Linked DNA regions of Elephas maximus indicus. Each later gene encodes a partner of the first gene's protein in a complex. Links are inferred from orthologs where the notes say so. Each region holds a gene or a part of one and is shown in the gene's direction. Other genes may lie near its edges. The genes, in order: F2, F2RL3 and F2RL2.

Region 1 (10,203 bases):
CGTTTAGGATGTTGCTGGGGTGACTTGGAATAGGGTGGTAGCAGTGGAAATGGAGAGATATGGGATCATTAATCCAGCAGATCTTCACTGAGCACCTCCAACATGCCAGGCACTGTTCTAGTTGCCAGGGAGACAACAGTGATAATAAAGTCTCTGCTTTCGTGGAGTTTATATTCGAGTGAGGGAAGACAGACAATAAACAAGTACACGTCACAAAAACCAAACCCATTGCCATCGAGTTGGTTCTACTCAGCAACCCTATAGGACAGAGTAGAACTGCCCATAGGGTTTCCAAGGAGCAGTGGGTGGATTCAAACTGCTGACCTTTTGTTTAGCAGCTGTAGCTCTTAGCCACTCTGCCACCAGGGCTCCAGATATATGTCAGGTGAGATAAACACAGTGAAAAAGAGTAATTCATGGGGAGGGGATAGGAATGGTCTGGAAGACCCTGAGTAACAGGACTTGAGCAGAGACCTGAATAATGGAGGGAGCGAACTGTGATGGTATCTGAGGGAGGAGGTGGATTCCAGCCGGAGAGACCAGAAAGGACAAAGTCCCTGTGTGTTTGAGCAAGGAATGGTGATGGAGGCAGAGTGTGGAAGGAGGTGGAGACAGAGACGGGCCCATATATACCCTCTTTCACCCTTTAGATGGGTAAGTTCTCTGGGAGGTAGAAGTGACGGATTCAAAGACGGAGGGGGATAGATCCGACTCCTGGTTTCTGGCTTAGGCAATCAAATGGTAATAAGGCAGGTAACACTGCAGGGGGATCCAGGTCAATTATGATTTGGGTTTTAAGTGTCTGCAGGAGATATCCCAATTGAGCAGTTGGAAATAGTTACAAACCTGTGGAGAAAAGCCTGGGTTAGAGGAAGAGGATCTGGGAGTTACTGGCCAATAGGTGGTCACTGAAGCTGTGGGAGTGGGGGAAGGTACAGAGAGAAGAGACGAGGGCCCAGGACCAAGCACTGCAGTAGCCCAACCCTTCAGGTTCGATGAGACAAGGAAGACTTGTCAAAGGAGACTAAAACTCAGCATCCAATAAAACGAAAACCCTGCAAAGTCTGGATCACAAAGCTAAAGAGAGAGTGTTTCAACAAGGAGGAAGTGGTCAACAGTGTCTGTTGACTGTGGAGGGTGGTGAAATGTGTAGGAGCCACTGATGAGCCAGGTGAGAGCAGTCAAAAGCCAGACTGGTTTGCTTTGAGGAGGAGTGGAGGTGAGAGAGGCAGGAAGAACATACATTCTTGCTTCGTCCTTATGCTGTCTTGCAAAATAGATGCCGTGATCCTCATTTTGGGGATGAGGATACTAAGTTTCAGCGGGGGTAAGTAACATGTCAAGACCACAAAACGAATAAAAGGCAAAGCCAGATTCAAATCTGGGTGGTTTTCTGGCACTTTCACAGCATTTGATCATAATGTCATAAGCAGCCATGTCTCCCATTTTGCCATTGACATTAACCCAGCTGTCCACCAGTCTGAATAACTTCTTGGTAATGCATAATTCTGGGACTGTCCAGGAGGAGGGAGGGCCAGGAAATGGTGGCAGTGTGTGGGGAGAAACACCACAGCATCCAAAGCCTGAAAAAGAGTTGCTACGATTAGATTTTAACCAACCAACCTTGTTTCTTGGGACTTGTGTGAGGCCTGGTAGGTCCTGTTCTTTTCCAGTTCTTACCTCAGCTTGGGTGATGGCTCAGCAGTGTCTGCCCAGAACTGTTAGGTATCCTGGGGGTACACTTTTCACTTGATAGGGAACTGCGCCTACCTCCCGCCTCAGGCCCTCAAGAGAAGAGGTGCATATGTGTTTTGTCCTCCCTGTTACCACCCCTGCCTCTTGCCACTTCTCCCTCTGCAGGTTGACTCAGCACTGGCCCAAGCTGATCATCAGGGAAAGGGGGCCATCCAAGGAACACCTGTCTTGAGAAGGATGAAGCCATACTTCTCTCTGTTCTCTACTTCTCAGGAGCCCTGCTCCCTTTCTCACTCAGTATTTGATTTTTGAATAAATGAGTGATACAAGATCTTTTCACCATTCCACTCCAAAAAAAAAAAAAAAAAAAGTAGGCTCAATATCATTAGTCAACAGGGAATACAAATTAAAATCAGTGAAATATGCTGATACATCCATCAGAATGGTTAATATTAAATGGACAGAGAATATAGAGTGTCAGCAAGGATATGAAGCAACTGGAACTTTTTAAATGTGGGAAAGTAAACTGGTACAACCACTTAGGAAGACTACTTGTAATAGCTACTTAAGCAAAATATATACCTACTTTATGACCCAGCGAATCTGCTCCTGAGCATATATACTCAAAGAAGTGCTTATATACACCAAAAGTCTTGTTCAAGAATATTCATAGCAGCACTGTTCATAATAGCTCAAAACTGGAAACTAATCCAAATGTCCACCAATGGGTGAATGGATAAATAAAACGAGTAAGAACGTCACGCAATGAAGGAACAAGCTATTGATCCAGACAACACGAATGAATCTCAGAAATATACTGAACAAAAAAAAGCTAGATGCAATGAGTATATACTATAGGTTTCCATTTACATGAAGTTCAAATATAGGCAAAACTTACTTATGGTGATAGCGGTTAGAATAGTAGTTATATTGGGGGTACTGAATGAGATGAAGGAGTCTGTTTTGGGGCTGGGAATATTCTCTGTCAATCTGGGTGTTGGTTACATGGGTGTGTATCTAAAAATCTGAGTTATACACTTAGGATTTGTGAACATTACTGTATGTAAATTATGCCTCAATTGAAATATATATACATATATATCCACACAGTCTTATGCGCTGTTGAGTCAATTTTGGACTCATAGTGGCCCCGTGTGACATAGTAGAACTGCCCCATAGGTATTCTAGGCTGTAGTCTTTACGGAAGCAGATCTCCAGGTCTTTCTCTGCAGAGCCACTGGGCAGGTTCAAACTGTCAGCCATTTCATTAGTGGCTGAGCGCTTTACCATTGTGCCACCAGGGCTCTCTCTCTCTCTCTCTCTCTATATATATATATATATACACACAGACAGACATACACACACACACACAAAATATAAGAACTTTGGCCACCCAGGAATTAAGCTGATTCCTGGGAGCCTGGTCTGCAGGGCTCTGCCAACCCTCTCTGTTACAAACACTGCACCAGGCCCCTGCCCGTGATCTTGCCAGGTGAACATGACTGCAGTCCAGACCCCAAACAGCCAGGCCCAAAGGATAGGCAAGGCAAGGCCCTGTGCTTCCCTCTGTTCTCGCTCTTTGTCCTTCTGTCCTAATTAGACCCAGGACTAATATTTATCTTGCAGACTGCACACAGGAAATGGGGGAGGGACAGGGAGCAGGGCTGGGCCCAGGGGCAGTATAGGACCTGCAGCCACTCTAGGCTTGGACCAGGTAAGACAGGCAGGGAGAGAGGGAGGGGCCCTACCCCAGAGGCCCTGGGATTTGGGCTGGCTTCTGTTCCGGGCAGGCAGCAGGTCCTGGGAGATGAAAGAAAATAGACCAAAGGCCCAAGAGGCCCTGGACCTGCTCCTCCCAGGTAACCACCACATACAAACACACATCCACAGCACCCCAGATGGGAAAAAGGGGAAATGGAACCTTCCATCAGTGGTTGAGAGTCCGGGGCCCCTGTTGGGTGTCCCTGCCCCCAGCACATCCCAGAAAGAGGTGGACAGCTTGTGTCTGGCCACATTGTGGCCACACCCTTGTCTCCGGCCACATTGTGGCCACACCCTTGTCTCCATTTTCTTATATCTGCATATTGTGATTCCACAAACCTCTCCGTCAGTTTACATACATTTATCTACCAATTATTTATGTATTGACATACATTTACCAATTATTAACAAAAACCAAATCTGTCGCTGTCAAGTCAATTCTGACTCATGGCTACCACACGTGTGTCAGAGTAGAGCTGTGCCCCATAGGGTTTTCCATGGCTATGATCTCTCAGAAGTAGATAGCCAGACCTTTCTTCCTGGGAGCCAATGGGTGGATTCGAACCCCCAATCTTTTGTTTAGTGGCCAAGCACAAACCATTTGCACCACCTAGGGACCTTTACATTTATAATCTCCTTTACTCCTCACACCAAGTTCTATTACCATCCCCATTTTACAGATGAGAAAACTGAGGCATATAGAGACTAAAGCAATCATTACCATGTATTAGCTTCAGGAAGATCTTGGCCCAAGTTCACCTCATGCCCCAGGGAGAGGAGGAGTGGGGGTTGGTGGTTACAGTGACCTTTCCTTTGTGGCTTCCTCTCAGACTGTCCATCTCTGGTCCTAGGAGAACGTTTTCACCAGATGGCGGGGGTGGGCAGGTGAACTATCTATCTGCTTGTCCCTACGGCCCTGAACCCATGACCTCTCCTTCTCGGCCAATTTCTTCATGCTAGTTCAACATTAACCCAGAGGGGTCAGGATGAGCCTTCAGAGTCCCAGAGCAGACACACTATGGCGCACGTCCGAGGCCCGCGCCTGCCTGGCTGCCTGGCCCTAGCTGCCCTGTTCAGCCTTGCGCACAGCCAGCATGGTAAGGGGCGGCTTGGAAGCTAGGACAGGCTGGAAGACTGGGCCATGGGCCGTGGTTGGGGTCTACTGGCCTGACAGAGAACACGGCTGACCCCCAGGAGGGTCTCAGCCCAGGGTATCCAGCTTAGGGAAGCAGCTAGGTCCTCAGGGCTGGAGGACGCTGGCTGCTTCTCTCCTGCAATATGGGGAGTGCGCTGGAAGTGGCCAATGTAAATAGGGGACCTGGTGGGCTACATTTGGCTGCTTTCTGGCTTCCGCCGGCATGCCAGCCACCCCCTTCTGGATGCCAGCATGGCTTGCTTCCTGGCCCCACCATGGCCAAGGCCGCCTGGCTCTCTGAGGCCGCTGTCGCACGACCCTTCTACCGCAGTGTTCCTGGCCCCTCAGCAAGCACTGTCGATGCTCCAGCGGGTCCGCCGTGCCAACAGCGGCTTCCTGGAGGAGATGCGCAAAGGTAACCTGGAGCGAGAGTGCGTGGAGGAGCAGTGCAGCTATGAGGAGGCTTTCGAGGCCCTGGAGTCTCCCAGTGACACGGTGAGGACCAAGAACATCGGAACTCATTAACTACTGCTAAGTTAACTTCAACTCTGATCCCCATTCCACTGGGCTGGCAAGGTGATCAACCTCAGCCATTTTTGGAGGTCCCTGTACTTGGCTATGCTGAAGTGCCAGGGTCTGTTGAGGCTGCCTGACATGCAGAGGCCTCCTTGGTCTCCAGACAGCTGCCTATGTTGGGATCTCTACAGTCCCTTGCCCTGACCCATGTGATCTCTTCAATTTCAGCCTTTCTGTGCCACCCTTGGGCTATGGGAATCCTATGAGGCCAGGAGCCCTGGGCTTAGGCCTCAGCGTTCCTGGAACTCTGGCAGCCTTTCCCTTCCTTGGGTGTCTGCCAGGGCCCGCAGCTAAGGACCCATGCTCCTCTCTCCTCTCACCTACCCCAGCTCAGGGGACCCCTTTTCAATTGTGGTGAGTGGGAGAGAGTGGACTCCCCTCTCCTCAAATACCCTTTTCTTTAATGGGCTTGGGCTTTTGGTCACCAATCTCCCCAGAGCCTGACTCTGTGTGACTGAGCTAAGGGAAGGGAAAGTCATTGGAGAAGACAGAAGTTTACTATAATAAAAATAAGTAAATCAAAGGCTCTCGGCTCAGTCTCACTGCAGTCCTTGTTTTTCAGGAAGCATTCTGGGTCAAGTACACAGGTGAGCATCGAGAAGGATCTGCTCCTGGAAGGGAGGCCTGGAGACTCGAGCTAGGGAATGTTCTACCTCACAGAAATATCTGGTTCACCAGTCATCCATCCATACACTCACTCAGCCTTCTTTCTTTCTATCTGTTCATTTCTCTGCTTCTGAGTATTACCCCCCCCCCACCCTTTATTCCAGTCCATCCTGTCCCTACTCTGCTTCCAAAGGTGTTTCTGGGTCTTTTGCAGCTTGTGAGCCAGTGAGGACACCTCGAGAAAACCTCGTGGAATGTCTGGAAGGTGAGGAAACAACAGCGTCAGGGGTGTGGGATGTGAGGGGTAAGCAGTCCCAGGAGAGAGGGGCCTGAACCTGGAAGAGGAGGAGGGTAGGGGTGGGTTAGGGGATGTGGCCCAGTAGGGGCAGCCTCTTACATTGACATTGCCTTTCTTTTTTTTTTTTAATTGAACTTTAGATGAAGGTTTACAGAACACTAGTTTCTCATCAAACAGTACACACATTGTTGTACGACATTAGTTAACAACCCCATGACATGTCAACACTCTCCCTTCTCAACCCTGGGCTCCCTATTACCAGCTTTCCTGTTCTCTCCTGCCTTCCAGTCCCTGCCCAGGGTTGGTGTGCCCCTTTAGTCATGTTTTCTTCCCTGGGGCTGTTCAATCTTTGGCTGAAGGGTGAACCTCGGGAGTGACCTCATTACTGAGACGAAAGGGTGTCTGGGGGCCATACTCTCAGGGTTTCTCCAGTTGCTGTCAGGCCAGCAAGTCTGGTCTTTCTTTTTGTGTTAGAATTTTGTTCTACATTTTTCTCCAGCTCTGTCCCAGACCCTCTATTATGATCCCTGTCAGAGCAGTCAGTGGTGGTAGCCAGGCACCATCTAGTTGTACTGGACTCAGTCTGGTGGAGGCCATGGTAGATATGGTCCATTATGACATTGCCTTTCTGTCCCTATGGTCTAGCCTGTGTCTCTGCATCTCTAGCCCCCAGCTTCATGTTTGGCAGTCAATAAGATGTTTAATGTTGGAGGAACAAATGAATGAATGAATGCATGATGAATTAATGTTTAAGGCCTCATTCACGTTTGCCTGACTCTGCTCACCCCAGTCTTGCCCGCTGTTTCCAGAGCACTGCTCCTATGTTGTCACGCTCATTCTCCAAATCCCTTAGTGGCTCCCTATTGCTCCCAGGAAGTGTGGCGAGCTTTGTGCTTTCTGGCCTGAACTTCCCCTTCTAGCCTCACCTTCCACTGCACCAATCATGAACTCAAACCTTCAGCTACTCTGACAGCGAGAACTTCTTGACACATATCAAGGCGTTTCTCCTTCCTGGCACTTGCTCACATTGTCACTTTCTCCTGGAGCACTCATCAATGGCTATTGAAAGCCTCTCTATCCTCCAAGGGCTAATTCAAGTGCCATCCCATTCACTAAGCCTTCAGGGAGCCTTCTGTCTCCTTCATAGCATTTTAAATATACCTTTAGTATGACAGGGGCCCTGGTGGTGCAGTGGTTAAGAGCTACAGCTGCTAACGAAAAGGTCAGCCGTTCGAATCCATCAGCCAATCCTTGGAAACTGTATGGGGATGTTCTACTCTGTCCTCTGGGTCGCTATCAGTTGGAATCGACTCAGCGGCAATGGGTTTTTGGTTGGTTTTGGTATGACAATGGTCCCCACTACATGGAACACTTTAATCGCTGGCCGTGTTTTCATTAGTTAAATCATTCATTCGACAAACATTTAACTAGGCCCCTGCTATGTGCCAGACACTGTGTTGGGTGCTGGAGAGTCTAAGAGAGTCAGACACAGTCTTTGCCTTCAAGGAGTACACAGTCTCAAAGGAAAGCAAAAATACAAATCGTCAAGGTGATTGCTAGAAAAGTGCTGTTCAAGGTGCCAGAAGAACACAGGAGGGGCTTCCGGTTTGCTGGCAGAATTGGGGACAGGTCCCAGAGGAAGTACAGTTCACCTGGCCTTGTGGAATGCATTGATGAACTCTGCATTCCAGGCAGAGTAAATAGCATGTGCAAAGGCCCTGAGGTATGAGTGAGCCTAGTGTGCTCAGGAGTTAGGAGCCAAGGCACCAGGATAAATAGACCAGGGCCAGATCACAGAAGGACCTTGTTCACTTTTTCATCCTCTCAGACATGAGGAGCCACTGAATTTAAAGATGCAGAAAATTTGACTGTGACTGTCTTATTCATCACTATGTCCTCAGTACCTGGCATGGTGCCTGGCCCATGGTGGGTGCTCACTGACTATTTGGCGACTCTTGTTAACTGACTAGAGAACTGCTGGGTAAACCAGAGGTGCTGAGTAAATGCTGGTCAAGCACTGTGGTCCTGAGAGAGCTCGGAGAGGGTAGACAGACAGAGCTTTGCTGGGAGAGAGAGGGACAAATCCTCAGGATCCCAATACTGACCTGGCCTGGGGCCTCTGCAGGGAACTGCGCTGTGGGTCTGGGCACAAACTACCGTGGGAACGTGAGCTTCACCCGGTCAGGCATCGAGTGCCAGCTCTGGAGGAGTCGCTATCCACATAAACCTGAGTGAGTGATGGGCAGAGAGCAAGGAGACACTGGGGCATGGCTTCCCGCTGGGGTCCCAAGCTGAGCTTTTCCTATTCCAGAATCAACTTCACCACCTACCACGAGGCCTACCTGAAGGAGAATTTCTGCCGCAACCCAGATAGCAGCACTACAGGGCCCTGGTGCTACACTACAGACCCCACCGTGCGGAGGGAAGAGTGCAGCATCCCTGTGTGTGGTGAGCTGGGGCAGTAAGGCAATCCACGGCCAAGGTCAAGGCCAAGGCCAAGGCCAAGGCCAAGAGGTTTCTATGGGGCCTGGCAGCTGGGGGCAGGACCTGAAACCCCAGCTACCTTAGAAGGGGTTAGTCATCTAAAACGTATTTGGGCCCGTCAGTCAGTGGAGCTGGGAGACCTGAGGGCGTTGACTTCCCACGCTCCCCTTGCCCTCCCCAGCCTTGGCTTCCTTATGAGCCATCTGTGGCTTGTTGCAGACATGCTTTTCTTCCTGCACAGGCACTTTCCCTCCAGGAATCCCTCCCAGACCATTTCAGTCCACATGTCCTTTTCTGAACACCACAGAGCAAGACTCATTCATTTCAGAACTGTGCGAGTCCATCATTATTATTTCCCGTGGTTTATTAGTTAGCTCAGCCCCTGGGTGGTTGGAGGTTCAAGTCCACCCAGAGGCATCTTTGGGAGAAAGGCCTGGCGATCTACTTTCAAAATAATCGACCACTGAGAGCTCTATGGAGCACAGTTCTACTTTGACATGCATGGGCTCACTGTGAGCCGGATTTGATTCGACAGCCCCCCCCCTTTTTTTTTTTTCTGTCTTAAATCAGTTAGGTCGGTCCCTGGGTGGTGCAAAGGGTTAATGTGCTTGACTGCAAACTAAAAGTTTGGAGGTTTGAGTCTACCCAAGATATCTCTGAAGAAAGGCCTGGTGTGATCTGCTTTCAAAAATCAGACATTGAAAATCCTATGGAGCACAGTTCTACAGTGATACGCATGGGGTCACCATGAGTCAGAGTTCACTCAACGGCAACTGAAACTAGAATCAGCTACAGCCATAATAATGCTGCAAAACCAACCATAAGATCTCAGGGGCGTACAACAATAAGCATTTATTTCTCGAGTGTAAAAAGGCTGGCTGGGGCGGCTCCTTTGATACCAGCTGGACTTGCTCTGTGGGCTTGACTGATGTAGGACGTGTCTGGCTGGGTGGCTCTGCTTTAGACCATGGGTCCTGCTGAGCTCAGCTTCTTGCTGCAGGCTGGGCCCAGGCCTGCTCCACATGTGTTTACGGTGATGGCAGAAGCAAAAGTCACTGAGCAGAAACACACGGTGTCTCTCAAGGCCTAGGCTCAGAACCGGCACAGTCACTTCTGTCCACATTCCATTGGCCAGAGAAAGTCAATGATCAAGGCCACAGCCAACAGGTGGAGAAGTACACCCTGCCTCTGCGTGTAAAGTCACAGGGGTACAGACAGGGGTAAAGAATTAGAGCCAGTCCCTCAATCTAGCCCACATAGGTTGACACTATTTGCCCTTCAAACATCCTTATGGGGCCTTGACCTTGGGATTGGTCTTACAGTCATCAATTGTCATAATAAAAATGGCTACCATTTCCCCAGCCCTCCCCCTCCGCATGATATGTATGTTGCAGGCATGCTGAAATTGACCTACTGCCCATGTAGATAACCTCAGTCAATCCCAGCAATCTTTCTTCTGTGCCCCTACATAAACACAGAGTTCTTCTTAACCCAGCACTCCAGGCAGTCACTGCCAATAGATTCAAAATGACCCAGGAGGGAAATCTGTTTTCTATTCTGGCTTATTATGGGTCAGACTCTTTAATGGTTATGCTGTATATTCTGTTTAATCCTCTCAACAACCCTGCAAAGATGAAATTACCAAAGC
Region 2 (10,203 bases), on another chromosome or scaffold:
TGATTCTGACTCATAGCGACCCTATAGGCCAGAGTAGAACTGCCCCATAGAGCTTCCAAGGAGCACCTGGGGATTCGAACTGACGACCTCTTGGTTAGCAGCCATAGCACTTAACCACTATGGCGCCAGGGTTTCCTCTACAAGATTAGGTTATTTTAAATCAATCTCTTTTGAGATATAAAAGAGAGAAGTGAGCATAGAGACGGGGGACCTCTTACCACCAAGAAAGCAGTGCCAGAAGAAGAATGTGTCTTTTGGACCCAGGGTGCCTGCACAGAGAAGCTCCTAGACCAAGGAAAGCTTGATGCAAAGGATTTTCCTCCAGAGCCGACAGAGAGGGAAAGCCTTCCTCTGGAGCTGGCACCCTGAATTCAGACTTCTTGCCTACTAGACTGTGAGAATAAATTTCTCTTTGTTAAAGCCACTCACTTGTGGTATTTCTATTACAGCAGCACTAGATGACTGAGACACCTACTGAGTGAGAGACTGGAGGTAAGGCCCAGTAATCTGTGTTTTCATAAATCCTGTAGGCTATAGTGATGTACACTTTCTTTATGTATCAGATTTGCAATTGATGTTCTGATAGTACCTTTAAATTTTTGAAACGTTATTGTAGCCTACTGTCATGGATTGAATTGTGTCCCCCCCCAAATATGTGTCAAATTGGTTAGGCCATAATTCCCAGTATTCTGTGGTTCTCCTCTATTTTCTGATTGTAATTTTATGTTGAAAGGATTAGGGTGGGATTGTAACACCACCCTTACTCAGGTCACCTCCCTGATCCAAGGTAAAGGAAGTTGCCCTGGAGTGTGGCCTGCACCACCTTTTATCTCTCGAGAGATAAAAGGAAAGGGAAGCAAGCGGAGAGGTGGGGACCACCAAGGAAGCAGTACCAGGAGCAGAGCGTGTCCCTTGGACACGAGGTCCCTGGGCCTCAGAAGCTCCTCAACCAGGGAAGGATAGAGGACAAGGACCAAGGACCTTCCTCCAGAGCCGACAGAGAGAGAAAGCCCTCCTCTAGAGCTGACACCCAAAATATGGACTTGTAACCTACTATACCCACTAGATTGTGAAAAAACAAATTTGTCTTTGTTAAAGCCATCCACTTGTGGTATTTCTGTTACACAGCACTAGATAACTAAGACACCTACAGTCTTAGGAATGACTTATTTGTTATGCCTTAAGTTTTTCCCATTGCTGACTTCTCTTGTTATTTTTCAAATATTATTGTTATTATTATTGAATCATATTTTAATATCATTATAATGGTATTATTATATCATTATTATCATACTACCATCATCATTACCTGTACCATCTCTGCTTCATATTTTTGATCAGAAAGTTAAATACAAATTTTTTTTTTTTTTTGGTAAGGTTGTTGAACTGATAATTCCATCCTTCCTTCTCTGTACTGCATAAAACTCCTTGAGCAATATAGCATTCTCCTAATTGACCTCTTCACATTTCTTAATACAGTTAATGAATCGTGACTGACAGCTTTAACAAAAAATAGTTACCTATTTGCAGCTGCCAGGGAAAGCTGTTCTAATATCCAGGCAAACTATAAACTATCCTTCTTTAGCATAGAATTTTTAAGGCAGGGATGTGTCAAACAGAATCATGTGTGTGTGTGTGTTTTGATATTTTCCCAGCCATTAGCTGAAGGCAAGTATCTGGAGATTTAGGACCCACTTATGGTAAGGCAATAACAGCTTCCTAAAACAAAACAAAAAACCCAAACTCATTACAGTTGAGTTGATTGCAACTCATAATGACCCGAAGAGACAGAGTAGAACTGCCCCCATAGGGTTTCCAAGGCTGTAATCTTTACGGAAGCAGACTGTCACATCCTTCTCCCACAGAGCGGCTGTTGGATTCAGAACCACCAACTTTTTGGTGAGCAGCTGAGTGCTTTAGATTTCTTCTCTTTTAAGCCCCCCAGCATGTGGTACTTTGTCCAGCAGTCCTAGGTCACTCACATGAACAGTATCACAGCAGCACAAATGGCTCACGGTGAGAAGTAAAGCCCAAGTCCTCTCCCCAGGCAGCCTCACCCTGCGCCCAGCGTCCCAGGGTGTGGTCCTGGACATCGCACGTCACTCAAGTGAGACCCTGGGTTCCCAGTGTCTCTGTACCTTCCCTGTCATGTCTGGGGTCCCTCCCATGACACAGTGTCATCCACAACGGGGAGGGGGACTGTGCACCCCACTTTGTGCTACAGAAATGTCCTATACAAACATCTTCCCTGGGACATCCAGGGTAAGTTCCCGGATCTGGGGCCCCTGAGTCAAAGGGTGGGAACACTGACTTCCCCCATCACCTACAATGAAGGTGGCAGGGATCCCAGTTGTGGATGTCTTTGGTTACATGTGTCTGTAAGATGTGAGTGTGGGCTAAGTGTGTCCTTAGTGTGATACAAACAGCTCCCTGGGCCCAGGGACCTCTCTGGCCTTGGATTTTCCCGGAGCTGGGGCAGGGCCCTCCTATCTCCACCTGGGCTGACATGGGTGATTGCCACACTAGACGCTGCCCAGGACTCTGCCTCATCACTTCCTGGCTGGTCAACAAGTCCCCGGGTGTGTGACTAGATTAGGGCTGCCCTGAGATGAAACGGCTCCCTCTAACCCCAGACCCCCACCACCACAGGCTGGCCCTCCTGCCCCCAGTTCTTCCCTGTGGCCTGGCCCCGACCACAGGGCTCTCCCAGGCCGGGAGGGGCGTGGACTAGAGAAAGAAAGGGTGCCTACCGTCGAAGCCTCTATTTCTTCATCAGCACAGAGGGTGCCCCCCCCACCAGAGAATGGATGTTACATCCCACAGGGGCCTGGCCGCCAGGATGGGTGGGGGGCGTGGAGGGCTGAGAGGAGGAAGGGCCTCCCTTGGGTTGGGGTCTGGCTGTGAACCACATCACCGAACTGAGGCTGGGGCTGGGGCTTCAAGAGCCAGGGTCCCCTCAGACCCCAGGGCAGCACGTGGTCAGTGTCAGTAACTCTGGCTAAGGACTAAGCCCCTCTTCATTCTCCTCAGCAGACCCCAGGCTCAGCAGGTGCCTCTTACCCCTGCAGTGCCCTTTCTCCCATGTCCAGGGGAAGGTGCTGGACAGGAGTGAGGTCCCACAGAGGACTGGGTGTCGTGGGTGTCCCTCTGCTCGATGACCTCCAGCCTGGGGATGGGGGGAGGAGAGGCTTCAGGAAGGGCCCCTGACGCATGGCTGTCACGAGAACTGGGGCTGCAGAGCGAGCGAACAGCAGGAAGCGACCACTTGGACCACAGATGCTTCCTGGCTTGGGAGGGGGGTGCCGAGGTGGGGCAGCAGCTCAGCGCAGCACCCCCCCCCACCCCCCGCATCTTGCTGGGCCCTGTGAGGAGCCTCAGCTGGGTGGAGTTGACCTTGGTTTGCCCAGTCCTCAGCTGAGTCCCTCAGGCAGGATTGGGGTGGGGGCCAGGAAGGGGTCTTCCTGGTTTATCTCCCAGCTCTCCACCCTCCGGGGCTGAGGCAGGAAGCTGGGCTGGGGGTCTGCGGGCAGGAAGCCGAGGGGCCCAGACTACCGAGCCTGTCGGCAGTGACATGCGGAGGCTCCTGCTGCTCGGGGCCCTGGTGCGGGGGCTCAACCCTGCTGGCGGCACCCGCACCCCCAGCATCTACGACGAGACCCCTGAGGACCAGAGCGCAAGCGGGGCCGATGGTGAGTGAAAGGAGCAGAGAGAAGCCAAGGGGTATGGGGCCCAGAGCCAGGGGGCCTGGGTAGAGGGAAATTGAGGGGCCCTTCAGCCCCATCCCCCACCCTGGCCCTGACCCAGTGGGGCTGGGGGCATCTGCATCCTGAGAGCTGGGGCCTGGACTGTAGCCCCCCATGGGTTGGCTCCCCTCAGCAAACACAAGGGAGCAAATGAGGGGGACAACGCAAGGGAGGGAACTGATTCAAGGGGGAGCACAAGAGAGTGGCTCAGGGGTCTGGGGGGGACACAGGGGCAGTTGAGGAGTCCAGGGTGGACATGAGAGGCAGATACTAGGGGGTCACTAGAGGTGGACAGAAGGAAGGGGGAAATCAGTGGGGCAGCTGAGGGATCTGGGGTGGACCCTAGGGTGGCAACAAAGGGCCCAAGGGGAACACAAGGAGGTGGCTCAGGAGTCTGGGGAGGGACATAAAGGGCAGACACCAGGGAGTAACTAGAGATGGACACAAGAGGGGACACCAGGGGCAGACCCCAAGGAAGGGGATAGGAGGGGCAGATGCCAGGCTCTGGTGTAGCCCCCTTTGTCCTCGGCACCCATCCCTTCCCTCGAAACTGGGCTGACACCGCTCTCTCCGCAGGTAGCGAGCTGGGGCCCTGGTTCAGACACACAGAAGTGACAGCCCCGCATCTGCCCTGCCCACGCAGCTTCCCTGGCCGCCTCTGCTCCAACGACAGCGACACCCTGCTACTGCCGGACAGCTCACAGGCGCTGCTGCTGGGCTGGGTGCCAACGCGCCTGGTGCCTGCCCTCTATGCCTTAGCTTTGGCGCTCGGACTCCCGGCCAACGGGCTGGCGCTGTGGGTACTGGCCACACGTACGCCGCGCCTGCCCTCCACACTGCTGCTCATGAATCTGGCAGCCGCCGACCTGCTGCTGGGCCTGGCACTGCCGCCACGCATCACCTACCACCTGCGCGGTCAGCGCTGGCCCTTTGGCGAGGCCGCCTGTCGCCTGGCCACGGTCGCACTCTATGGCCACATGTACGGCTCGCTGCTGCTGCTGGCGGCTGTCGCCCTTGACCGTTACCTGGCCGTGGTGCACCCGCTACGCGCCCGCGCCCTGCGCGGCCGGTGTCTGGCCACTGGGCTCTGTGCCGCCGCCTGGCTGGTGGCCGCCGCGCTATCGCTGCCCCTCGCGCTGCAGCGACAGACCTTCTGGTTGGCAGGCGCGGGCGCGGGCCATCTGCTGTGTCACGACGCGCTGCCACTCGACGCGCAGCTCTCGCACTGGCGGCCCGCCTTCGCCTGCCTGGCGCTCCTTGGCTGCTTTGCGCCGTTGCTGGCCATGGCGCTGTGCTACGGCGCTACGCTGCGCGCGCTGGCGGCGGGCGGCCGGCGCTACGATCACGCTCTGCGCCTGGCCGCCCTCGTGCTGGCCTCGGCCCTGGCCTTCTTCGCGCCCAGCAACGTGCTGCTACTACTGCACTATTCGGACCCGGGGCCGCGCGCCTGGGGCAACCTCTACGCCGCCTATCTGCCCAGCCTGGCGCTCAGCACCCTCAACAGCTGCGTGGACCCCTTCGTCTACTACTACGTATCGGCCGAGTTCCGTGAAAAGGTGCGCCACGCGCTCCGCAGACTGACGCCTGGAAACGCAGGCGCGACTTCCAAGCCTTCCGGGGAAGGGGTTGGTGCGGGGAACGGCACCCGCTCTACCTCGTTGGTATGACTGACCTGCAGATGGGATGCTGAGCCCCAGGCATCCGGACCCCGGATTAGGTGGATCCCAAACCAGCCGGATCCCCAAAGTCAGCAGAACCTCCAGACCAGAAGGACCCCCCGGGCTAGCCAGACTCCTGGCCCTTCTGGACCTCCAGACCAGGTGGACTGTGGGACCGACTACAGTTAAGCCCCCTCCAGAGATGGGAGCCCCCTAACCTTCTACAGGACCCTGCTCAGGGGGAGTCCCGGCTGCCACCACCTCCCCCTTCCCCCCCAATTGCCCCAGCCGCTCGCGCCCCAGCAACCCTGGTTCCAAATTTGGGCGGTGCCCAGGGTTTGGGGCATCTTCTGAGCAATCAAAACGGAGCCCCTCTGGTGGTGAAATGTTTTGGATAAGGATAACCGGTGGCACAACATGAAAAACGTAATCAATGTCATTGAACTGTAAATGTGGAAGTCGTGCTGGCGGATGTTCTGGTGTGTATGTTTTCACCACAATAAACAGAACGAAACAAAAAAAAAAACCCAGAGCCCCCGACTCTGCCCCAAAGCATCAACTCTGTCATGGGGGATACAGGTCCCAGTCTCTTCCTCCTCTGTCTCCAGGGCCCTAGAGACTCCAGCTTCTCCTCTAAACCACTCTTTGACCTCTCGATTTGATGTTAACTCCCCCCAGAACTAGGTGAGGCCAGCGGTGGGCTCTTGGGGGCCTGGTTGGTACTCAGACCTATAGCCCTGTGACCCCCCTCCACAATGCTCCAGTCTGCTGGTAAACCCCACCCCCATTCACCCCAACACCATGAGCCACCTAGAGCACTGTGTTGGAGCTGTGGGGCAGAGACTGTAGCATGAGGGGACTGGGGGGGGGGGCGTCCTGGGCTCCCCATTGAGTCTGTGCTGCCAATAAGCCCAGCCTTGGGGGGCCAGGAAAGTGTGAGCTGGTGAGCAGGGTGACCCTGAGCCAGGGTGTCAGGGTGCCTGGGGACACACACTCAAACACACTCATACTCACACTAGCTGTCTCACACACACACACTCATTTAAACCAGTTGCCATGTGGTAGATTCTGCTTCATGGCAACCCCATGTATTACAGAGTAGAACTTGGCCCCATAGGGTTTTCTTGGCTATAATCTTAACAGAAGCAGGTCACTAGACCTTTCTTCCAAAGCACCTCTGGGTAAGTTCAAATTGCCAACCTTTCAGTTAGTAGCTGAATGTGTTTACCGTTTGTACCACCCAGGGACTCCCACACTTATTTACACACATTCATCCATACTCATGCTGACACATTTGCAAACACACACACACACTCCCACACACACTCATACACACTCACACACGAGTACATGTAGTCTGTGTAAGATTGGTGGATCAGAATCCTGGCTGTGACCTTGTACTAGAGTTTTGTAAGATGTTCATTAATTGGGTGAACTGGGCAAGGGGTGCCCCGGACGTTCTCTGTACAATTTCCTACACCTGCATGTGAATCTAGGGTGATCTCGGGGTGCAAGTGTGTGACTTCCAGAAACCCCACGCTCACCCAGCTCTAAAGACCTGGGCACAGAAGCCACGGCTGCTGGGGAGCTGCGGCTCCAGCTGAGGCCTGAGGGCCCCTACCCAGCCTCCGCATCTCGGGGGGGCCCTCTGGTCCCTGTCTATGACTGAGCCCCCATAACCCGCAGGAGGCCGTCGCCATCTGTGACTCCGGTGGAAACGAGCTTTTATTAAACCACAACCTCCGTGTTCTTTTGGGGAAAAGTCGGGGAAGCAGCCGCGGGGCCTATCCCCGTGGGCCCACAAGGGCAGGAAGGACAGGGCGGCTGTAAGTGGCAGGGTCGCTGCGCCCCCGGGCGGAGAAACAGCTTAACAGAGTTGGCTGAAATAACTACCTCGGAGAACCCCGCGCAAAGGCGCCGCCAGGGGCAGACACGCGCAAGAACGCGCGTTCTCGGGACGAGTACAGGAGCAGGCTTTGGGGGCGGCCTGGGACTTCTCCCGTAAGGCAGGTCAGACCCCGCGGCGCCAGGAGGAGAACGGTCCTCCAGAGCCGAAGCGGAGGGCCTGTCCTGGGCCGGGGGACCCGGGGCTGGCAGAGGGTACGTTACACTGGACCCGGGGCTTTTCCGTAAGGCTCTGTGCTACCATAGCTAAACGTTCAGGGGTCTTCAGGAGTGGGCGGGAAAGGGAGTGGGGGTGGGTGGGGGAGGGACCCTCGGGGCAAGGGCGGAGGTGGGGAGGTGACCCAGGACAACCCAGCCTTCTGGCTTCTGAGGTACCAGTTAAGGGACTCAGTGGCCAGGAGCCCCAAAAGGAGGCCTGGGCCTCCTGTTGTGGAAAGAGGCAGCCTGTTAAATTTCAAAGTTGCTGATGGAGGGACGCACGTTGTCTCCTGAATTTGGCTAGGTGCCTGTCTGCCTCAGAAAGAAGCCTTTGGCCAGGAGCCCTTCTAGGGAATGCCCCTTCTCCCATAGCGAATTTGGGGTGCAGGAGCTGCCTGCTCAAGGACAGAGATGCCCGAGCATCAGGGCTAGGGGGGTCTGGAGCTCCAGCTGGGAAGAGTGGAGCTGCCCCACCCCCAACAAGCCCCCAGCACCCCCACTGTCCCTCCGGTTGAGGGTGAGGGTGGTTGGGCCCCAGGAGACCCTAAGTAGGGTCTGACGGGCAGGCAGGTCTCTGCTGATCTGCTTATCAGCTTCATTTGGACTCAGGTGTCACCTCCCACCGAACAGTTGCTGGACCTTTCCGAGGGACAGCTCAGGGCTGACAAGAACAGGATGAGGCGCCAAGCAGGTAGGTGACCATAAGGAGGAGAAGCCACTCCTTAGTAAGGACAAAAAAAAAAAAGCATCCAAACCCAGTCCCGTTGAGTCGATTCCGACTCATAGCGACCCTATAGGACAGGGTAGAACTGCCCCATGGAGTTTCCAAGGAGCACCTGGTGGATTCTAACTGCCAACCTTTTGGTTAGCAGCTGTAACACTTAACCACTATGCCACCAGGGTTTCCTTGGTAAGGACACTACTAGGCAAATAAGCTCTGATACCCAGAGGGACCACTAGAAACATAATGGAAAAAAGTATAGTTAAAAAGACAATATAAAACCAAAAACCAAACCTATTGCTCTCAAGTCGATTCCACCTCATAGTGACCATACAGTACAGAGTGGAACTGCCCCACAGGGTTTCCAGGGAGCGGCTGGTGGATTCCAACTGCTGACCTTTTGGTTAGCACTGGTAGCTTGCCACAGCTCTTAACCACTGCACCACCAAGGCTCAAAAGACAATAAACCCATTGCCATCAAGCTGATTCCAACTCATAGTGATTCTGTAGGACAGAGAAGAACTACCCCACAGGATTTCCAAGGAGTGGCTGGTGAATTCGAACCGCTGACCTTTTGGTCAGCAGCCCAACACTTAACCACTGTGCCAGCACGGCTCCAAAATGACAATAGCTAAATTAAAAAAATGGAATTCTAAGAAATATTTGATTAATCCAAAAGAGGGCATGGAAAGATGAACAGAGTGGACAAACGAGAAATAATTAGACAGTAGCCCTAAACCCAAAGGCCCCTGGGTGGAGGAAATGGTTTGCACTCGACTGCTAACCTAAACGGTGGTTCGAACCCACCCAACAGCACCCCGGAAGAAAGGTCTGGTGATCTGCTTCTGTAAAGATTACAGCCTTGAAGACCGTATGGAGCGGATCTACTCTGTAACACATGGGGTCGTCATGAGTTGGAACAATGACAACCCTAAACCCAGCCCCATCAATAATTAATGGCCATGAACTAAACCCAGTGCCTGGGGCAGGATGGCACACCGCTGACCCTTGGGGATTTGGGGGAAAGCGTTCTTCCTGTTGGGTTTGCTGAGTGGAATAAAAAACTGTCTTTGCCACCAAGATTGATGTGAGAGAACCTGCCTGAAAGAAACGCTCACCTGACCAGGACTGAGCCTGAGCCTCACTCCCCCCTGGACTTCGCACAAATCTGAGCTGATAAATCAACCTTTTGCTTAAACCTCTTGAGTCCAGTTTTCTGTAACTTACGCCCCAAAGACTCACCTCCTCCAGGAAGTCTGCCAGGATGTCCCCTCCCAGCCTGACCCCACAGGGCTCCCCAGACCACCTGCAGCCCCTTCTCTACCCTTCCCTTGGGGCCCCAAGCCCAGGGGTGGATCTCTCCTGGAGTTGACCCCTCACTCTGCACACCATGGGCTTGGTCAAGGGCAGGATCCCCCTCTATGCCCAGAAATTCAAAGCCTGACCCCTCCATTTGAGTCATTCCCCACTCCTGCCAGGGGTCCAGAGCAGGGGGTGAGGGATGGATGCGGCCAGCTCTCACCTGTCCTCCTCCTCAGGGTCCCAGTCCACGGCTAGAGACTGGCTGTGCCCAGCCTCTTGGCCTGCTGCAAGTGCGCCCCACCCCGGGGAGGACTGGGTCATAGTCATAGGTGCTATAGGAGTTGGTTGTAAGGAAGGTGGACTTAGAGTTGGGGGTGGGGATCTGGGTGATAACTCCCCAAAGACCTGGAGGTGGGTGGGGGAAGAGATAGCTGGCCCAGAGTAGCAGTGATGGGAGGTAAGAGGTCACAAGATGGGGGTGAGGGGTTCACGAAGGGACAGAAATCGGAAGGAGGGGGCTGTGACGGAGGAGGGGGCTGCGATGGAGAGGAAGGGGTGGTGGGAGAGGAGGGGGCTGTGATGGAGGAGGAGGGAGCGATGACAGAGGAGGCGGCGATGGAGGAGGGGGAGGGTGCGGTGGTGGATAGGAGGGGCGACGCAGGCGGGAACCGGTGGG
Region 3 (10,203 bases), on another chromosome or scaffold:
ACTCTCCGAGGCACAGGTCAGAGGGAAAGGGAGGATTCTGAATGTGCAAACGTGCAATAAAAAATTGCACATATTTGAGAAAAGCCTCTTGCTTTTTATAGTCAACAGTCCATGAGTCCCAATGTAGTAAATAATCCATGTAACATTTGCAGGCCAAACATTAGAAGAATCCAGAATAGAAGGAGTAAAATACCTTCTTAAATTAGTTTAATCTCTAAGAGAAAAACCATTAACCATTTTAGGCTATTTGAATGTCTACGCAGAGCAGTTCGACTCTGCGCACATGAGGTAGCCATGAGTTGGAATTAACTAGACAGCAACTAACAACAAAAACAACTACAAACTAATTTCTTAAATTATTTCTTCAGACTATGGCTTCCCTTCACTTTTACATTTAAACTTAAATCTCTTATACGTGTGTCTCAATTTTAATTTTTTTTTTCCTTAAGAACTAGACTGCTAGAAAAGGGAAGACTTCGAAGTTCCTAAGGGTATAAAGTTCAGGCTGGAGAAATCCAGATATTTTTCTAGGCTAAGGAAATAAAAACCAGATGTTTCTCACAGATGCCTCCAGGGTTTAAAAGCACATCTATGAAGCAAGACTAAGGCATCTCAACAGCATCCTATGACCTGACACAACCTAACAGATTCTAAATCATGCCATGAATGGACAGGTTAATTAACTATATTTTTAAGAACCTTATTTTAATTTGTGTAGGTTATTAGTATACTTTGAGTGTTACTGTACCATTTAGAAGCTACTTTGAATTGTCACAGAAATTTTCATACCATACCTCCTAGAAAATAGAATCATGGAAGACACAAAAGAGAGAATAGGCATTCATGAAGCAGAAATGGGCTAGTTTCTTAAGGATCAAGATAAAAAAGGATTCGATTCAGTTATGAAATTTAAGAGCTTAAGAATCATTGTTTTGTTCCCTGGATTTTGTTCAGCCGCATTCTGAAATATCAGAGATAGAATCTAATCTCTGAACACAGTACAATTAATTTTATTTTTGTATAAATATACATTCAAGAACTAAAATTTGGTAAGAGGGTCCAAATCACTTCAGAAATTAAAAATTACATGATTCAAGCATCTAGCTAAATTAAAAAAAGGCAAGTTCAGCAGTGAAAGAAGGCAAGTGCTCACATTTTTCTGCTTGCTCCTTGTCCATGTTGGCCTCATCGACTGCTTGCTGTATCTCATCCAGCCAAAGAACTTTGGAAGCAGACTCAGGGTCCTGGAAACATTGTCATAGAGTAAAAGAAAGAAAGAAGGATGAATGATGATGAAACAGAATGAATAACTGCTTATCAAGAGCCATTTTATATTAGCTTCCACAAAGTTTTATTTAGCAGCTACCAAGCACTGTTACATACTGTAAAAGCTACTTATGAAAAAGACCCAGTCTGACCACTTCTCACTTCTCCACTGCCACCTCTCAGACAGCTGGTCCCCTATCTGCTGTTGTTGCTTCCGAGTTTGCCTTCTATGACAGCGGTCTTCTACAGAGAACCAGACAATCTATAAAAGTGTATCTCATCAGTCAGTCCTCTGCTTACAATCCTCCAAAGGCTTTCCACTGCAGTTAGAATGAAGCACAGGCTCTCCTGCCATCAACTGTGAGGCTCTAATGATCTGGCTTTACATACCCCCGCCCCCTCTTCACCTCACACTCCTCTGACTAGTTTATCTTATCTTTCAGGCCTCAACTCAATCGCCTCCTACTGCTCTAGTTAAATACGCCCTTCCTTCCCCCAGTCACTCTAACTGGTTCCCAAACTACGTGCCAAGGTGCCCCTCGGTGTCATGGGGTATGGTAAATTTGACAGAAACACAGTGATACTTGACATTTATAGAACACAGAGACAAAAACAAAGAAACAAAGCCACAGTGATTGCCCTCAAGGAGTTAACAGTCTAGTAAAAGAGACAGATGTCGTCAAGAAATAATTGTTATACAATGTGATCCATGCCAATACTAGCTGTAGACATATCTAGAAATAGCTAAGAAGGGATTAATTTATGATAGGAGTGCTGAGTTGCAGGAGAAGCAAAGACCAATGATAAGGCTGGCTTCCGAGAGGAGTGATAAGAGCAATTAAAATGTACTGAATTATCTTACAGTTCTGCCTTTGGGTTGATTCTGATGATCCTGCTACAAATGCGATGCTAATATATAATTTATTAAATGGAGCTTCCAGCTAGCAGCTATGCTTTACAAAACCTTGTCCAAGACTGCAAGTAAATTTTGCTATCAGGAGGTAGAAATTAAATATTTTTAGGGAGGTTGAGACATTTCACTTAAAAAATGGGAATATTTGCTTATATGTAGGAGTGTCATGTCCCAAATCATAAAGCAAGATAGCGATGCGTGGGAGGTAGTGACTCTGGGGTTGGAGCCATAGCGTACTCTGGAAAACCAACTCTATCATGTAGGACTCAAGAGGGATGGGGGCAGGAAGGAGATATGACATTCTCCAGCTCCTCCAGCAGGCTTCTAACCCCACTTCCCTCAGAGGCTAATGTGTGAAGAGGGCTCTGAAAATGAGACAAAACAATTGTTGTTATTTCTTCTTGCAACATCCAGGCTGTCGGAGACCACTGGGGGAAGAGAGGCTTGGCCCTGCTTCCACAATCATTTCTAGCCAGAACTGCCACATGGGACCTATCAGCTATTAGTAAGATGTTCCATTTCTTTTAAGAATGGATGGGGAAAGTTCAAACAGGAAATAAGATGGGAAGCCAAAGGCTAAAGGAGGAATGAATGGACGACAGAGGAGGGACTCTTTTATTTTGTGTTTCCAAGCCCAAAGACAACTCAATATTTCTCATTCTATTGTTCTAAAACTAAGCTCTATACAAGTTTATTTACGTCTGTCTTATTTTTTTGGAGGGTATTTACCCATCTTCCTTCATAACTTATCACTGCAGAAGAAGCACCAGCACAAACTATCCAGATGAGAAGAAAATGACAATTCCCCTTTAAAACATTGGTTTTACAAGCCAAGCTCAAGAGGGACTTTGTAAATCAAATGAATTTAGGTCAACAGTTTAAATTGTGACATGTTAAACTGAAGATATCAAAACAAGAAACAAAAAAAAAACCCCTAACCCGCTGCCAGTGAGCCAATTTCAACTCATAGTGACCCTATAAGGCAGAGTAGAACTGCCTCACAGGATTTCCAAGGAGCGGCTGGTGGATTCGAACTGTTGATATTTTGGTTAGCAGCTAAGTTCTTAACCACTGCACCACCAGGGCTCCAAACTGAAGGTCGAGCTAAATAGAAAACCAAGAGCGAAAACTGAATTTTATCAAAGTAAGATCTCCTTTTCAAATTGCATTACCAGAAACTGAAAATAATTTTATTTTTATGGATGGCCACACCTCTATATCCAGCTAAACAACCAGGTTCCACATGCGAATTATAGATGGATCAAATGGACAAAAACTAGGCCATGTGTGAATCAAATAATAAATTCCTGAATTTAGATGATTCCTAGAAAAGTTTCAACTAAGGAAAATGTACTCAATATTTTGTTTTTTTCTTTTGTTATAATTTCTTCAATAGAGCATTCTTTCTCAGTTTGTGTTAGCATACATTATGTAGTTGAAGTATTAAATGCTGACCTCGGATTATAAAAATCTTGGTTTGATGAGATTTAATTTAAAGTTCACACAGATCAATTTCCTAGCTCTATCCCTCAGCCTTTAAGGCTCACGTGGAATTTGCATTTTCTGGCTCTGGCGGCATTTTATAAGCAACAGGCTGTTGGGTTCTCTAGCTTAAAATTTAATCTTAAACGTCACTAGCTATAGGAAAACCTATTATAACACAGTTTTCTTTTTGAGTGACCTAGAACATAAGCACGCATAGAAGCTTACTGGAGACTCACGGAATAAAGGGAGTCCTCTGTACTTCAGTGTTGTTTTATGATTTTAGTTTCATCAAATAGTGTTGCTTGGGGCCCCTCGGTTACCTGGCCCTACAGAACAAGAGGCTCAGAACACACTGAGCAGTGGCAAACAAATAAAACAAAGCCCTCCCCAAACAAAACAAAAAAACTTCACAAAGTCAAGTTCTGGTCAAGCACTGATGACAAATTCAGGCCAATGTGACATCAATGGAGAATTTTCAAAGTCACCAAGCGCCCAATTACTTTTAACGTCTTACAAATGTTTGTCTTCCACTATTGGCTTAATTTATAATTATGTAATGAGCTCAAGATTTAACGTCTGAAATAGCTGGGAGGATAAAAGAAAGGATAATTTCTGACAGCTCAATTAAGAAGTAGAAGCTGGGCTTTAAAAATGGGTAAAAATGAGAGATGGGGCAGATTCAAAACCGTTAGCATCGATTTTCAGCTACCTTCTGGAAAGGACTGTGTACGTTCTGCTTTCTTTAAATGCACATAACTACGCTGCATGGGAATTACAGCCTATTCAAGAGGATTATTAGGGATGAGTAAGAGTTAAAAGACTTTCTTGAGGATCATGTAGCGTGCTCCTGTTGGCCAGAAGCTCAGCCTGAGTCACGGCATACTGAAAATCAGTGATGTCACGCCCTTTCCCTGCAGAAGACAAGGCGAGTTTCCTGCCTGCAGAGCACAGGAGAGCAAACTTCTACTGAGATGACAAATTTCCATTTGCTGCTAGCACACGGAACTGATGCGCACCCGTGCTTCCAGCTGTGTTCCGTAAGTTTTTACATCTGATAACGTTTGAGAACTCGGACTCAGGTCATCAAAATGAAGGCTCTCATCTTTGCAGCTGCTGGACTACTGCTTCTGCCGCCCACTCTCTGTCAAAGCGGTAAGCCCCTTCCTTACGGGGTAGCATGGGAGTCTTGGTTTGTCACACGCTGACTCAAGTGAACCTGATTTTCTTTACATTTCACACAAACTGCAAACTGAAAAGGCAGAGCTTGATTTGAATTAAACAGTGAAGTCACGGAAGTATCTAGAGCTTGTTCACTCTACTCAGACCTTGTCACTAAGTGTTCTCTGCTGATATTTCAAAATTTATGCCATATGTGAGATTTTAAATATCTACAATTAAGTCAAAAGTCAATGTTCTTTGTGAGAAGTTTTTGGATTTTTAACAATTTCCTCTGATTCAGCCAAGATAGTACTTTTTCAAGGGATAAAAAGAAAAGTCCTATGTTTACACCTTCTGGTATAAACAAAAAGGGGGTGTGTGTGTGCGCAGGAATACTGCTAGACAGAGTAAAATATCTGCTTTCAAATGCCAGTGATGCTATGATGCTAAGAATAAATTAGTGTTTCTTAAATGAAATACCTTTTTGACTTTCAGGGGTAGGAGCAAGTTCTCTCATCCTCATATATGAATTTTTAGTTTTAGAAATAAGATCTCCCAAAGGCTATTATTCAAGTGTTCATAAATCTCCTATTTCACCTATCACAACGTTAGCCTGTAACCTGCTCGCTCCAAAATTAGCAAATCTGTGATTGATCTGTATCCATAACCTTCTACCATTAGGTCATCTCCAGTCAACATTGTTAGGAGTTGGAAGGGGGTGGTGAGGGAAGACCACAACAAGAAAATCACCACCACCACTCTAGTAAGGGAACGTTGCTGCAATTGATAGACTGCATCCCAGAGGTTACAGGAAAGCTCTAAGAGGATGGGAGGCTAGCAGCAGCACGTGTGGAGTCTAAGAATAGGATAAGTAAGTGCTTTTTCTGGGCATGGATGAGCCAAACTTGGAGCAGCAAAATTGGAAAAGAACAGAGTTTTGTGGAGGTGGTTCCTTCAGGATGCTAGTGGGCTTTGGTGAAATTGAAAAGAAGGGAACTTAAAAGGGGCAAAGTAAGTAAATACAAGTAAATGTGCCTTCTTCAACTGGGGTGGGGGGAAAATATGAAGCATTGAAGGAAGGAATCATTACCTAGTAGCTGAATTTTAGATTAGGACTCTCTCCTTTTCTCAGAAAAACATTTCAGACACATTACGCCAAATCGAAACCTGCATAAAGAATTCAAATAACTTTTTTTTTTTAAATAAAATTTAACAATGAGTGCTATTTTCAGGAAAACGGGGCTCTAAGGAACAAAAGATTTATTTAAGCTGAACTAGATCTGGAATTCTGGCAGAAAATGGAATCCAGTCAGCTTTTCACAAACACAGTGACTGTTTAGGATATGCTTTTATGTATGTCTTGCTCAATCACAGGAATTTCTGAAAACTAACAAACACTTGGTTTCAGTAGCTCTCTTATCAAACCCTGAAGGGAAATTACTTGTACAGCATGTTCTTAATCCATTATTTTCCAGCTTCATGTCCATCTTTAAAAGCACTCTCTGTGGGTGATGTTGGTGCAAGAATGCTTCCAAAATACAAAAATGAATGGAGGGATTTCTGTGGCTGAACAGATGTCTTACACAAGATGCCTTCAAAGGCTGCACAGAAGAATGCCACCTTCCACATTTTTCTTCCCTCTTCTTCAATCGCGCTACCCTTCCTTAGGTGACACTGATGGATGGATCACCCACATGTGCTCACTTGTTGGGGCAACACTCCGTCTCTATTTTACATCTGAATTCAGTTGTGTAATCTCAGGGTTGTGAGAAAGGCTTCAATTTCACCCTGAAGCTAACTCCTAGAGATTAAAGCAGGAAGAGAAACTAATCTGTATGAGAGAAACAGGTAACCACAAATATTCAACAAGTAGGAATTCAGAGGTCATGTGAAAAGACTTAACTGGCAGAACACTGACAACTTTAATTAATAAGTACAAGGTTATATTTGGGATCAAAGTCCATCCTAAGGTAACATTAGAAATTTGGGAGAACCTATTTTCTATACGGGGTCTCCTGGGTGGTGCAAATGGCTGCTGCGCTTGGGTAACCGAAAGTCCACTCAGAGGCACCTTGGAAGGAAGGTGTGGTGGTCTACTTCTGAAAAATCAGCCATTAAAAGCCCTACGGAGCACAGTTCTACTCTGACACACACTGGGGTCGCCATGAATCGGAACTGACACACCAGTAACCGGAATTTCCTACACATGTCAAAGATTAATTACTGGAAAAATTGTATAGTGATAAACAGGTTTGACCATTCAAGCTTGTTTAATTGCCTTTTCAGAAATTAGGATTATTAATATGTACATGCAATGTAATGCCAAATACTTAAGTATGTGGTTGCTGTGTTTCTCTGCTTTTAAAATTCATTCCTATCTTCTAAGAAAACCCTGGTGGCGTAGTGGTTAAGTGCTACGGCTGCTAACCAAAGGGTTGGCAGTTCAAATCTGCCAGGTGCTCCTTGGAAACTCTGTGGGGCAGTTCTACTCTGTCCTATAGGGTCGCTATGAGTCGGAATTGACTCGACAGCACTGGGTTTTTTTGTTTTTTTTTTTTAATCGTCTAAGGCACCATGTTGATTTCACCTTCTGATATTTCTTTGTCACCTTTCCCCTTAAAATCAGGCATTTTCCCTAAAGTTTACCTTTAGATTCTTTCTTCTCACATCTCCCCCTAGACCATCACAACTACTTCTACTAAATCAAACTACAATTTCTATGCAGACTAATAAACTCATACCTCTAATTTGGGCTCCTGGAATTTTGGACTCTACACTTAGTCTTCCAACCCTGCTGGACAATTCAATACACTGCTACACCACCCACAATTCAAACCTGAGATTTAACTTCTCCACAGTCTTGCTCCCTTGTCCCCCCACCTCAGTTAATGGCATCCTCCTCCAAGTCATCTGGAGTAGAAATCATGAGTCCCTTTTGCCTCCTGCCTCTCCCTCACTGGCCCCCACGGTCCATCAGATGACAAGTCCCTTTGAGCCTCTACCACCGAGTCGCTTGTGTTCATCCCCTCCTTTCTACCACCACTGCTTTCGTTTAGTAACTCATCATCTTTAGTTTGGACAATTACAGTAGCCTCTAAATCAGGCCCCCTTGCCTCTAGCCTTACTATTCTTTACACTGTCACCCAAAGTCATCTTAAACACAAGTCAAATCATGAGTGTATTAGTTTCCTATTGTTGCTACAACAAATTACCATAAACTTAGTGGCTTAAAGCAATACTGGTTTATTATCTTACAATTCTGGAGGTCAGAAGTCCTAAAATCAAGGTATTGGCAGGGCTGTGTTACTTCTGGAAGCTCTAGAGAAGAATCTGTTTTCTTGACTTTTTCAGCTTCCTTTGCTCATAGTCCCTTCTTCCACCTTCAAAGCCTGCAGTGTAACATCTTCAAATCTCTCTGACTTTGACTTTCCTGGCTCCTTCTTATCAGGACCCCTGTGATTACCCTAGGACCATAATCCAGATAATCCAGGACAATCTCCCATAAGACAATGCATTATGAACCTGTATGCTAGCTTGAAAGTTACTTAAAGATAGGGATGGAATTTATCAAAACTTTATACCACTGGTACATAAGTATGCAATGAACATTTGCTGAATCAAATTATCTGACATTCCCAAATCTCATGTCAACTCACCCTATGTCTTTGCCCATACATCACCTACCAGAATATTATTAATCTATTAAGTTTCATCTTCATGGCCCTTGCTCACTTTTGCTCAGGTTCATCTTTTCCTTGGGACACTCTGCTCACTTGAATCTGTTAACTACTGCCTGAATTCCTACAGAGTTCGTCATCAGTATGATATTGGTCTATAACGGTCTGGCGTGCTATTTTTGTCTTCCCCATCATACTATAAACTCCTTACTTGCAAGGACTAATCATCTAGTTTTTAACAGCTCCTGCACAGTTAGCATGGTGTTAGGCTATATACACTGTTCATTGTCTGACCTATAAAAGTTTTTTAAAAATAAAAATGACCCTAAATTCTAGATCTACAGAAATTATGTCGGATAAGATACTTGGTTTTATTTTCTCCTGAACTGTAGGCATGGTTCTGCAGGAAATCACATGCTAATACTTGTTTCAATTACAGGCATGGAAAATGATGCAGACAACTTGGCAGAGCCAACTTTACCTATTAAGACCTTTCGCGGCGTTCCCGAAAATTCTTTTGAAGAGTTTCCTTTTTCTGCCATAGAAGGCTGGACAGGAGCCACTGTACCTATAAAAACTAAGTGTCCTGAAGAAAGTGTTTCAAATCTCCACGTGAATAATGTTACCATGGGGTACCTGAGCAGCTCCTTAAGCACCAAAGTGATACCCACCATCTACACCCTGGTGTTCATGGTTGGTGTGCCAGCCAATGCAGTGACCCTATGGATGCTCATCTTCAGGACCAGATCCATCAGTATGGCCATCTTCTACACCAACCTGGCCATTGCGGATTTTCTTTTTTGTATCACACTGCCCTTTAAGATAGCTTACCATCTCAACGGGAACAACTGGGTGTTTGGAGAGGTCATGTGCCGGGCCACCATTATCATCTTCTATGGCAACATGTACTGCTCTATTCTGCTGCTCGCCTGTATCAGCATTAGCCGCTACCTGGCTATTGTCCACCCTTTCACTTACCGGGGGCTACCCAAGCGCACCTATACCTTACTAACATGTGGATTGGTGTGGGCAACTGTTTTCTTATACATGCTGCCATTTTTCATCCTTAAGCAGGAGTACTATCTTGTCCGGCCGGATATCACCACCTGCCACGATGTCCACAATATATGCGAGTCTTCATCTCCCTTCCAAATCTACTACTTCACTTCCTTGGCATTCTTTGGATTCTTCATTCCATTTGTGGTCATCATTTTCTGCTATGCAGCCATCATTAGGACGCTGAATGCTTTTGATCACAGGTGGTTACGGTCAGTGAAGGCAAGTCTCCTCATCCTTGTGATTTTTACCATTTGCTTTGCTCCAAGCAATATTATACTCATTATTCACCATGCTAACTACTACTACAACACCACTGATGGCTTATACTTTATCTATCTCATAGCTTTGTGCCTGGGTAGCCTGAATAGCTGCCTAGATCCATTCCTGTATTTTCTCATGTCAAAAATCACAGATCACTCCACTGCTTACCTTACAGTCCTGAAATCATCTTAGAGAACAAGGAAAGCCATGTGTGAAAACATACATTCTTGGGATCACATACGTGTAGTGCAAGGAGCTCTATCCCATACTTACATGTAAGTATTCCTAAGAAAAAGTGCTTCCATATTAAACATCACAACAAAAGCACTAGATTTGTTTTCTTTTTTAAAATACTTTATCAGTATTTTAAGACTACAATTCAGT

Evidence for each region.
Region 2: the proteins of F2 (region 1) and F2RL3 are in contact, whole or in part, in a crystal structure (PDB 2PV9), measured with the Mus musculus proteins. The link is inferred for Elephas maximus indicus from reciprocal best matches to the Homo sapiens genes F2 and F2RL3. Residues at the interface, in NP_034298.1 of Mus musculus: Glu385, Leu386, Leu387, Cys388, His403, Tyr407, Trp410, Asp411, Arg428, Arg453, Glu454, Asn455, Leu456, Trp501, Gly502, Asn503, Trp508, Thr510, Gln516, Arg538, Ile539, Asp559, Ala560, Cys561, Glu562, Gly563, Asp564, Val585, Ser586, Trp587; in NP_032001.2 of Mus musculus: Asp54, Lys55, Pro56, Asn57, Pro58, Arg59, Gly60, Tyr61, Pro62, Gly63, Lys64, Cys66, Asn68, Asp69, Ser70.
Region 3: the proteins of F2 (region 1) and F2RL2 are in contact, whole or in part, in a crystal structure (PDB 2PUX), measured with the Mus musculus proteins. The link is inferred for Elephas maximus indicus from reciprocal best matches to the Homo sapiens genes F2 and F2RL2. Residues at the interface, in NP_034298.1 of Mus musculus: Phe379, Gln384, Glu385, Leu386, Leu420, Arg422, Arg428, Thr429, Arg430, Tyr431, Arg433, Lys437, Ile438, Ser439, Met440, Lys467, Pro470; in NP_034300.3 of Mus musculus: Thr46, Phe47, Glu48, Glu49, Phe50, Pro51, Asp54, Ile55, Glu56.

What each region holds. Positions count from the first base shown.
Region 1 is NC_064825.1:102,163,453-102,173,655, forward strand, and holds the start of F2 (prothrombin), read left to right. Parts: upstream 1-4,474; coding exon 4,475-4,553; intron 4,554-4,922; coding exon 4,923-5,086; intron 5,087-5,729; coding exon 5,730-5,754; intron 5,755-5,987; coding exon 5,988-6,038; intron 6,039-8,196; coding exon 8,197-8,302; intron 8,303-8,382; coding exon 8,383-8,519; intron 8,520-10,203. UniProt on the Homo sapiens protein: Thrombin, which cleaves bonds after Arg and Lys, converts fibrinogen to fibrin and activates factors V, VII, VIII, XIII, and, in complex with thrombomodulin, protein C. Functions in blood homeostasis, inflammation and wound healing.
Region 2 is NC_064821.1:37,066,121-37,076,323, forward strand, and holds F2RL3 (proteinase-activated receptor 4), read left to right. Parts: upstream 1-3,409; 5' UTR 3,410-3,571; coding exon 3,572-3,689; intron 3,690-4,319; coding exon 4,320-5,410; 3' UTR 5,411-5,910; downstream 5,911-10,203. UniProt on the Homo sapiens protein: Receptor for activated thrombin or trypsin coupled to G proteins that stimulate phosphoinositide hydrolysis. May play a role in platelets activation.
Region 3 is NC_064820.1:81,271,832-81,282,034, reverse strand, and holds the start of F2RL2 (proteinase-activated receptor 3), read left to right. Parts: upstream 1-4,577; 5' UTR 4,578-4,752; coding exon 4,753-4,816; intron 4,817-8,938; coding exon 8,939-10,011; 3' UTR 10,012-10,203. Other genes in the region: ras GTPase-activating-like protein IQGAP2, read right to left, coding at 1,154-1,244. UniProt on the Homo sapiens protein: Receptor for activated thrombin coupled to G proteins that stimulate phosphoinositide hydrolysis.